Drosophila melanogaster: one gene and its partner. The gene in region 1 interacts genetically with each later gene. Each region holds a gene or a part of one and is shown on either strand. Other genes may lie near its edges. The genes, in order: CG17760 and TkR99D.

What was found.
Region 2: of CG17760 (region 1) and TkR99D, changing one suppresses a phenotype caused by changing the other (phenotypic suppression), as found in Drosophila melanogaster (one study listed by BioGRID).

What each region holds. Positions count from the first base shown.
Region 1 is NT_033778.4:12,623,726-12,629,174, forward strand, and holds CG17760 (uncharacterized protein), read left to right. Parts: upstream 1-2,082; 5' UTR 2,083-2,411; intron 2,412-3,027; 5' UTR 3,028-3,073; coding exon 3,074-3,191; intron 3,192-3,258; coding exon 3,259-3,443; intron 3,444-3,511; coding exon 3,512-3,666; intron 3,667-3,872; coding exon 3,873-4,001; intron 4,002-4,061; coding exon 4,062-4,191; intron 4,192-4,245; coding exon 4,246-4,399; intron 4,400-4,468; coding exon 4,469-4,576; intron 4,577-4,713; coding exon 4,714-4,796; 3' UTR 4,797-4,894; downstream 4,895-5,449. Other genes in the region: CG30054 (uncharacterized protein), read left to right, coding at 1-118, 177-361, 424-578, 639-767, 838-967, 1,029-1,182, 1,259-1,366, 1,545-1,627; muskelin, read right to left, coding at 5,303-5,449.
Region 2 is NT_033777.3:29,966,175-29,971,305, reverse strand, and holds the start of TkR99D (Tachykinin-like receptor at 99D), read left to right. Parts: upstream 1-1,858; 5' UTR 1,859-2,323; intron 2,324-5,131. UniProt on the Drosophila melanogaster protein: Receptor for tachykinin-like peptides.

The DNA of each region.
Region 1 (5,449 bases):
ATGCACTGCTGTTCATCGACCGAGGCAATGGAAAAAAGGCGTATCAATGAGGAAATTGACAAACAGTTGCGCCTTGAGAAAAAAAGATCTAAACGGGAACTCAAACTACTGCTATTGGGTACGTGGAGTGGGATGTATTGGGATGTATCAAGGATACAATGTGCGTATATCCACAGGCGCATGCGAGTCCGGGAAGTCCACATTCATCAAACAGATGCGTATTATCCACGGCAGCGGTTACTCGGACGAGGACAAGCGTGGATACATCAAGCTGGTTTTTCAGAACATATTCATGGCCATGCAGTCAATGATCAAGGCCATGGATATGCTGAAGATTTCCTACGGTCAGGGAGAGCATAGTGTAAGTGAAACATTGATCTAATTGAAGTCACTGAATCTTAAACAACATCTTACGATCCACAGGAACTGGCCGATCTGGTGATGAGCATCGATTACGAGACCGTTACCACGTTCGAGGATCCATACTTGAATGCCATCAAAACGCTTTGGCACGATGCTGGCATCCAGGAGTGCTATGATCGTCGTAGGGAATATCAGCTGACTGATTCCACTGAATAGTGAGTTGGGACACCAGGAGCGATACCCAAAATTGCTTTTTTCTCATTTTCTTATTTCAGTTTTTTGGGTGACATAGGTCGAATTGAACAGGCTGATTACTTGCCAACTAATCAGGACATTCTGCGTGCTCGAGAGCCTACATTTAATATTACCGTTTATCCTTTTGAGTTGGATGGCTATGTACTTAGGTATATATTAAATTTTTAGGGGCAGTTTTATTAATTTTATTGTATTAACAAATTTCTCGTTTATAAACAGCATGGTGGATGTAGCAGGACAGCGAACTGAGAGAAGAAAATGGATTCACTTTTTTTCGAATGTAACATCGATTATATTTTTGGCAGCACTGTCGGAATATGATCAGTTCATGATGGAATCCGAAAACGATGTATAACTTGAAGGCATTTTATTAATTATTCGCCAACAATAATAAAATCCGATTATTGCAGAATCGACTGGAGGAATCAAAGGCTCTATTTCATACTATCATAACCTTTGAATGGTTTAAAAATGCTTCAATCATTCTGTTTCTTAACAAGATGGACGTGTTAGAGGAGAAAATAATGTATTCGCATTTGGTAGACTATTTTCCAGAATACGATGGTAGGCGTTAAAAGTTATATGGATTTACACACAAATTTTGATCAATATATTTAATACTTAATTCTTTACAAAACAGGTCCAAAACAAGATGCATATGCGGCCAGGGAATACGTGCTACGTATGTTTCAAAGCATTAGTTTAGATACATATAAAAAGATATATTCTCATTTTACGTGTGCTACAGGTAAGTGTATTGTCTTGATTTATTTGGCTTAAAATGCATTTGTTCTGTTCTTATATTGGGAGATTATGTATTTTGCTCGTTTGAAAAAACAATGTAAATGCAGTAACGTACAGCCTAACAAAAAGCTAAATAATACGTTACAAATCCCATCTAATTAAGTTATTTATTTCATTTTTAGATACGGAGAACATTAAGTTTGTGTTCGCTGCAGTTAAGGATACAATTTTGCAATGCAACCTAAAAGAAAGTAATCTGTTTTAATATGGGTGTGGATCCCCAACTTTTATGTGGTCTCCCCATGTAGATAATAAAAATAAATTTTGCTCTTACTTTGTTATAAGCACACATATTCAATGTTTATACATTCTCTTTACCTCTATCGATTAAGAAATTATTTGCATGTCTTATAAATTTAGTTTTTAATATGGTTTTAGGCGTTTACAGTTTGGTATTCGTGGATTAATAAAAACCAGTTCATCTTATAAGAGCCGCGCATTGTTGGGCTCTTAGAAATAATTATTTGTGTTTTTATTGCCATTACAAATTAACTTAATCTACATTAAAAGAGTGAACTAAGTGTAAGGTAATGGGAAGAGATAAACAAATTCTCTTAAAAATCGCTCTTAGTGACTTGAGTAGGGCGAATTAAGTAAGCTCAGTTCTCAACAATTTTATCGTGCGGGTGAAAATGTAAATTCGCCCAGCGCCGCCCAATTAGTCTTAGAAAAACTCTCAAGACAGAATATACAAATTTTGCAAAAATTCTGTTTAGTCCACGTTTCGGAAGTTTAAAATTTTATATATAACCTACAGAACAGGAATAAAAAATAAAAAAATTAAGTAAACCCGTAAAATTGGTGAAACAAATTTAAAATCTACAAAAAAGTTAGAAATTAATAATAGTGCTTTCATGTGACTAAATTTCAATAAATCGTTTCATCACTTCAAAAGCGAACCTAAAAAGCACGAAAAAAAACGACCAAAAAACGATGAAATAAATGTAAAATTGTATCTAAAAAATAAAAAGAAAATATTTTGTAAGCACGTGAGTCAGTTATAAAATAACGTGTTATCACTTCCGTTATCCGGAACTCGCAGAAGGAAGGATTTATAATCGTACATACATAATATATTGTATGTATGAGTGATTCATTTCAGTCGACAGAATCAAAAAATTATAGTTGCTTTATTTTATTTATGAAATATTTTATAAACTCATTTAAAACAATGCCAATTTGGGTTTCGGCATACATTTAATAATTACAACTCGACAAAATGTTCAGCTCGATATTTTGGAGTGAGTAACACTTTTGTTTTGTATTAATACCCAAAGCGAAGATAATATTATATTCGTATAGGCAGAGCCTTATTTCATATGATATTTTTCAAGGCCAAACTTTCGGAGTCGTCATAGTAAATTACCCATGTGTCACTGGAATCAGCATTCTAGATTCGGGTTCAGTGAACTTGCTAGCCATATCGTTCCCAAGATCCCGACATACGGACAAACGGACAGGATCTATAATTGTTGATATTAATTAATTAAGCTACAGGATAGAAAACTTATCCTTCTACGTGTTACACACTTGCAACGATCAAGTAAAGATCAAAGAAAGGCGTATTTATATTGACCAATTGCGTTCTTTACTCAACAAATAAAGAATCGAAATAATCAAGGAACCAGAGAATAAGCCTGCAGGAATAACCATGGACTGCTGCCTATCGGACCAGGCTTGTGAGGAAAGGCGTATCAGCAGGGAAATTGATAAGTTCCTGAAAGCGGAAAAGAAGAAAGCTCGACGTGAACTTAAGCTATTGGTCCTGGGTAAGGGAAATCGTAGAATAATTAATTTCATGGCCTGTGTATATACCCAACAAATCCACAATCGCAGGCACAGGTGAATCGGGCAAGACCACATTCATCAAACAAATGCGCATCATTCACGGCAAAGGATTTTTGGACAAGGAGAGGAAGCAGTTCACCAAAAATGTTTTCCAAAACATATTCATGGCCATACAGTCGATGATCAGTGCAATGGATACTCTGCGAATTCCCTACGGTCAGCAGGAGCATAGTGTAAGACTAATTCCTGAAGCAATAATACATATTTTGATTTGCCTCCAACGAAATCTTATGATCCACAGAAACTTGCCGATCTGGTGAAGAGCATCGATTACAAGACAGTTACCAGACTGGAGGCGCCCTACTTGAATGCCATCAAAACTCTTTGGAAAGATGCTGGCATCAAGGAGTGCTACAATCGTCGTAGGGAATATCAGCTGACTGATTCAACTGAATAGTGAGTGAGCGGATTGATTTACTAAGAAATATCTGAGAGGCACACATGGGTAATCGTGCACAGAAAACCCATTTAAAATCAACTCTTTTTCTGCTTATTTTATGTGTCTTGAATGTGATAATAGTTACATTTTATCTAAGCATTTGTATTAAGCATAATTAAATAAATAACTTAAATTAAAATCGCTTCATTTTTCATCCAATTAGCTTTTTGAATGACATAGCGCGAATTGAACGGAGTGATTACCAGGCCACTGATCAGGACATTCTTCATGTTCGAGCGCCAACAACCAATATTGTTGAGTATCCCTTCAATTTGGACGGTTTTCTGATAAGGTATTTGTTTGAAATATAGTAAAATTAATAACTTCAATTAAATCGTACAACACAACACAGATTGGTGGACGTCGCTGGTCAGCGAACGGAGAGAAGAAAGTGGATTCATTGTTTTTCCAATGTGACATCAATTATGTTTTTGGTTGCCATGTCCGAGTTTGATCTATCCTTGGCTGAATCGGAGAATGATGTATTCTTTTGAAATTCAATTTCTTCCAATGAATAACCAAATTCCTTATTTCAGAATCGTATGAAGGAATCTAAAGCTTTATTTCACAATATAATATCGTTTTCATGGTTTCAACACTCGTCCGTTATTCTGTTTCTAAACAAGGAGGATTTATTTAAAAAGAAAATATTGTCAACGCATTTGGCAGACTATTTTCCTGAATATAATGGTAAGTTGACATCAATCAAACGTATGTACATGTCATATAAAGGATTTTATTCGACATCCTATTAACCAGGTCCAAAGAAGGATGCTAAGGCGGCCCGAGAATTCATATTGTACATGTTTACTAGCGTGAATCCTGATCCTTACAAGTGCATCTATCCTCATTTCACCGTTGCTACAAGTAAGTCAACTTTATATTCTGATTTTTGAAAAAAACACATCTTTTTGAATTCCTTGCTTGTGTTTTATTGTGTCTCAACATAAAAACTAAGGACGCTTTACACTCAATAACTAAAAAAGTGTTTTTTGGTTTTGTAGATACTGAAAATATTAAGTTCGTGTTCACTGCTGTCAAGGACACAATTCTGGAATTGCATTTAAGTGAAACTAATTTGCTGTGACCTCGATTTCTACAAAATGTCTATTTAAATCATATTGATGAGTAACAACCTTTGTGTATCATATTTTAAAAATAGGGAAATAAATGTATGTAAAACAGAAAATAACTTTTTAATTATTTATAAGTTTGCTATTATATTATAAACTGATGTATATTAAATGCGCCTTGTTGCTTTTGGACGTTAAAAAACTGTTTTTTATTTCAATCTTATGTTTACATATACAATCCATTAAATATAACTCGGTTTACATACTGTTCTTATTCAGCCTAAACGCACTAACTATGAATCCAGCTGCTTTTAGCCGGGGTTTCAGTACACGTGAACTATCACAATAAAATCATATATATGTCATGCTTTGCATTAACCGTAGAACCTTATATGGGCAAACAAGCGAATTAAACATCACATCATGATCAACAGTTTAAAACAAAACTCTCACACACTTAATAAGCTAAATATAATCTTGGATGGGGGCTCGTATTGAATCGGTTTTGGCACGTTAACATTTACATGACCACAAAGTCGCTAAGGTTGCGTTCAGGTTGGACCATGCTCGGTGGCATCAATTGCACCAGTTTATTGAACAGGAAAGCTCGCTTATTCTTCAGCTCGGGTGTGCAATCCGTCCGCGCCCTTTTGGTGCAGGAGGAGGA
Region 2 (5,131 bases), on another chromosome or scaffold:
GATGATGAGGTGCAGGACGAGACGGGCTTAGCGTTGATTAAATGGGGTCATCAGCAGGGCATGGCACTGGTAACGAGCGTTATCCTTGCAGATAGTTAATGATGCCCAGCTGCTCGGGATATTGGCCATTGCAGGCGTACACTCGGACTCGCAGCTCGGTGCGAGCCACCAAGTTCAACTTGGTCCATCATAATCATTATGGATGTGTTCAATGGACTGCACGTCAGCGAGAGATAAAGAAATTTAATGACCTCCTGCTTTCACTGTGTATCCTCCTTCCACAAAATGTAAGACGAGAAAATAATCTAAATGAGACATCGCCTTCAAAGCGTTGGAAAATAGTTACCTAAGCTAGTTAAGTTGACTTGTTTCATCTTGGATCAGTCGAATATGTGTGCCAAACCATGGTGTAGGTCATCTCATTTTACATGCAACCCATTCGTTGCTCAGTTGTTACAACTAAATGGAGTGATTGATGGGACATTGATGCATGTGCAGCGGATGAAGTTGCGGGATTCCATCTCCGCCAGCAAATTAAGACGTCCGAATCTGGCGAAGAGGGGGAGGCATTTCGGATTCATTGCTTACTTTAGGCATTTTTGGCCAGATCAGCCACCAACACCTGCGGCTGTCTGGTGTGAAAGAGCCAAGTCATTTGGCCAAAACTAACAAACATACGCTCTGCACTGAAAACAATTTCTTTGTATGTATGGTAATTGTAAAATTGTAATTGTTTTATCAAAATGTAAATAGAGACATATTCTGTATGGAAAATAGGAGAATTTGCGGTTTTATACCCATAATTTGGCTAAAATCATAATTACAGTCAGTTTTATACATGTTTTTTGGAGCCTGTGACCTAAGCAATCGATCCAAATCACTTTTTAATTGATTTCGAAAAATTAATTTTTGGACCAATTTTCGCAAATTTGATAAGGGGTACCATCATTAAAATTTGCTAAAATTGGCCAAAAATTTATTTTTCAAAATCAACAAAACTTGAATGCCAATCGATTAGGCATGCAATTACGAGCTCAACGAGGTATTACATTCTATATTTTGATAAATTAATCCAAAATTTTTCGTAGCCTTTCCACTTGGGAAAGTGGAATTTTAATGGGAAATGGGAATTTTAGCCTTAGGACTTGGCTACCTTAGCAAAAATAGCAAATCACTTTGCACTGATAATCAAGATGTGTAATCTATTTCAATGATATACCCCTATTGAATTTGTAAACATGCATTCTAAACCTAAAACAAATTATTCGAGTGTATTGATAAACATCTTCCTTTGAATGTGGTATTAAACGCTTTGAAAGTGCTGTTTTGGAAGCGATATATTCATTGTGCATATGTGTGTATATTTTGTAAGACATCTTGGTCATTTGATTTTCCGCTTGTGCGTGGCGTGCACGTGGCAGAATCGCCGGAGTCCGGATTGTTTACGAATAGCCGTATGACAACAGAGAGCGAACGAAGGCAGAGCGAGAGGAAAAGATAGGGCGCAGGCGTAGAAAGAAAACACTCGGCAACACTGGTGAATTTGGGCGGGTTTCCGTTCGATTCCGTCGCAGATTTCAACGCTTTTCAAATGGAAACGTTGCTCATTGCTCCGATAAAATAAAAGGCCCTCAACGCAAAGGGGTTACGTGAGCCCTAGTCCCCAGTGCAACATCCCAACATATGCAACAAGCGGCCGGAGTCCCCGAGGTCCACGGGAACCCCCCCCGCCGCAGAAAAAAAAACCGCCCACTTTTTTGTGGCCCTTATTATAACACCGACATATCAGCGCGCACAGCCTCAGAAAATTCCGGCTGGCATTCAGTTTTCCGCTTTCCGTTCAGTTCAACGGCAGACTCGCGCGCGTACGGTTCGAACTGAAAAGGCGACGGGTCCGGATTTTTTGGACTTGTCGGTTCTCCGGGTTCTCGGTTCCTGAAATTCGCTGATGATAGGTGATAGCTGAAGCTGGCGGAGAAGTGTTGGAAAAATGCTGGAAAATCAGCTTAGAGCTGGCTGAAATGCCGCCGGCAGTCGATCCGTAAACGTAATTGAATTCGGCCCAGTGGATTGAAAATCAAATTCAATTTCGTAGCGAGCAAACACGCAAAAACGATAAACTAGTCGTTAAAGTGAATATACAAATTGGTGTTTTGATTAAAACTAATAAACATAAACACCGAAACCACAGAGCAGCAGAAGGCGAGCAGCGGAATTTATTTTTAAATACGATTTCTTTGTTATTCGCTGCCTGCAATTGGCTGACATTGCTCATACGCCGCGTTGGCCGAGCGAAGAAGTGGGGATTTCAGCATAGTTCCTGGTAAGCGGTCTCCCACTGCCCAAAGTATTTTGTTTTTTTTTTTTCATTCTCTTTCCACTCATTATTGTTTTTCCATATTACAAAAACATTGTTTTCGGGAGGTGGTGGCTTGAATTGCAAAGTTTATTGCACAAACCAAACCGAAATTGGTTTACAAGTTTATGGAAATTCGAGTCGCCAAAGTAATTAGAAAACTGCTATTTGTGGACAACTTTCGGCTGCCCTGGTAACTTTAGCTCGAAATGTAATTACATCGAGAGCCTAATCAAGTGACTAACCCAATTCGAAAGATCAAACTGTAGGCCATTCCCATTCATCCCGATTTTCCACTCAATTTGAGCAACGAGTTCCACGACTCCAGTGAGCTGAGAAATAGTTAACCGATGGCCAAAAACCATCACACCCAATTGACTTTGCCCGATGAAAAGGTTCTCCGATGATCTCAGATTTCGGAAATCTGGTCGGAAGAGCAAATCTCCTGGAATGACAATTAATTCGATTGCGATTTGCGTTTTTTAGGCCCACGGCGGAATGGAAATAATCTTTTTAAATAACGCACCAATTCCGTACATCCTGTGCCATAAAATAAAGTAAAATAAAATAAAACCGTGCGCATTGGCTTATCCCTTGGGTATTTTCACATGTGCCCAGCTCTGATGTTTATAATGCAAATAAGCAAAGTGTTTCAAATGTATTTATTTTGGGGTCGAAGGCGTTTCAGCGCTGGTTGTTTTTTTTTTTAAGCCATTTAATTTTAAGGGGAACGTAAATAGAAGCCTTAAATGCATGCAAACTTCCTGGCTGGATTTTATAGAGTTCATACACAGTTGATATTTAAGAAAAATGTAAACCAAAGGCAAACGAAAGTGTATCTCTTCGTTAGATGTTAAAACTTGATTAAGTGTTTGAGCAGTTAATTAATTGAATTTAATCAAGTACTTGTGGCCAAATGAACTCCACCCTGCAATCAATCGGAAATTTAAGTATAAATCATCAATCAAATCAAGGCATTCATTACCTCGAAGGTATTTCGCTTGTGAACTCCCGACATAATTGCCACTTTAATTGAAGAAAATTAATTCACTCGAAGTGTCCATTTCCAGCTTTCCTTCGAATTCGAAGTGAAGCGCTTTCAAGTGAATCCGCTGGCCAAACAGCACACTTAATTGCTCCTCCGAGATTCCAGACATCATCTAACTCAATCAGTGGCTGGCACAACTTTCTCCGCTTCTAAATATTTAATGTCAACTATGATTAGTGAGGAGGCAAAGTCCTGTGGTTTTAGGCATGTCGATGTGGGATGTGGGCTGTCGGATGTGGTCGGGGGTCTTTGGATCCGGATAAATGGCTGTTTGGCGGCCAAATGAACGCATCCGCACAAAAGCTTTGCCGACGGTCAGCTGAGCAAACCGAAATCCTTTCAGCGCGAATTGCTTGCGGAGGAGCAGGAGGGGATCCGAGGCCATTAGTTGGCCCCAAAAGGCGGCCTTTAAAGATTCAGGCAGGCGTGAACGGATGGGTATCTTTAAGCGAATACGAATGCGAATCAGTAATAAGTGAGTGGGGTGCCGTATGTTCCGTATGTCCAGTGCTGCTCCACAGTGCTGTCATGCATCAAAACATTTAATTAAATTGAAACCGATGCGGCATCCGCCCCACTGCTGACGTCTTTGCCCGGCCACACTGGACATTGGCCAGTGGACACTGGACTTTGGACATCGGAGCGAAGGAGGATGTGCTGCTGGAGGTGGAGGGCAGCATAGCAGGTCCTTTGGCGCCGGAGACGTGTGTAACTTCGGCTTTCTTCCCCAGCTTTCAGCATTCAGCATTCAGCTTTCAGCTGGACACCAGTTCACCATCTCCGCCCCGAATGAATTTAAATGAAGGCAGTGCCGGTCCTAAACAAGTCCGTGAATCATGTGCATATTTTAGCGGTGCTCAGTTGAGTTCGTCCCTCTTTTATGCAGCCCCATCGAGCTATGCAGTGTCCTTGTCGGTGGACAGGACGTGTATTCCACAGGGATAGCCTTTAAATAAATGGGTTAATTCGATGGCATTGTTCGCACACCCAGCACATGTGTCCACAAGACAATTGTCCAATTTATTGGCATTGAACAACTTTGTGTGTCTAATATAAAATGTTGCACATAACAATATGCAAATAACACTTGTGGCAGCATGTTATTTATGACTTTGTGAAGCTTAACTTTAATTTGGCATTTGGCCTTTGTCAAATATTTCATTTGATCGTAGATCCGAATAAAAATTCAATTTTTTCCCAAATGAAGTCGAGCGAATTGGTTAATATTTCCGGAGACGAAAAAAATCTATCAATTTTGAATAAGTGAAAGTTAAAAGCTCCAGCTGAGAAGTCATTCAATGGGCAAAAGCAATACAATTCAAAACTGAAATGTACTCAGTTGCCCCTCGGCCTCGCCACTGCTCCCCATCTTTCCACGCCGAGCAGATCTGCCAAAGAATATACACCGACTGGCAGATGATTGAAATGGGAGTGAGAGCCACAGCGCTGGGAATCGAATGGGGGGAATGGGGAATCGGAGGTAGCCTTTCTTCACTTCTGTCTCCGCTTTGTTCCTCAATTTACACATAATTGCAATAAATTGACTAAGTGGGTGCTGGGGCACTGAATTTATTGTAGTCCGAGTCCAGAGCTCCAAAGATCCATAGCTCCAGAGTCTTGGACATTTGGGCGGAACTGCAGCACCCGTCTATTTTCTCTTCTTACGTATTTATTTTTGCTCGGATTGCTAAGCAGGGCACACTGATAGAATCCGATAGCTGATAAGA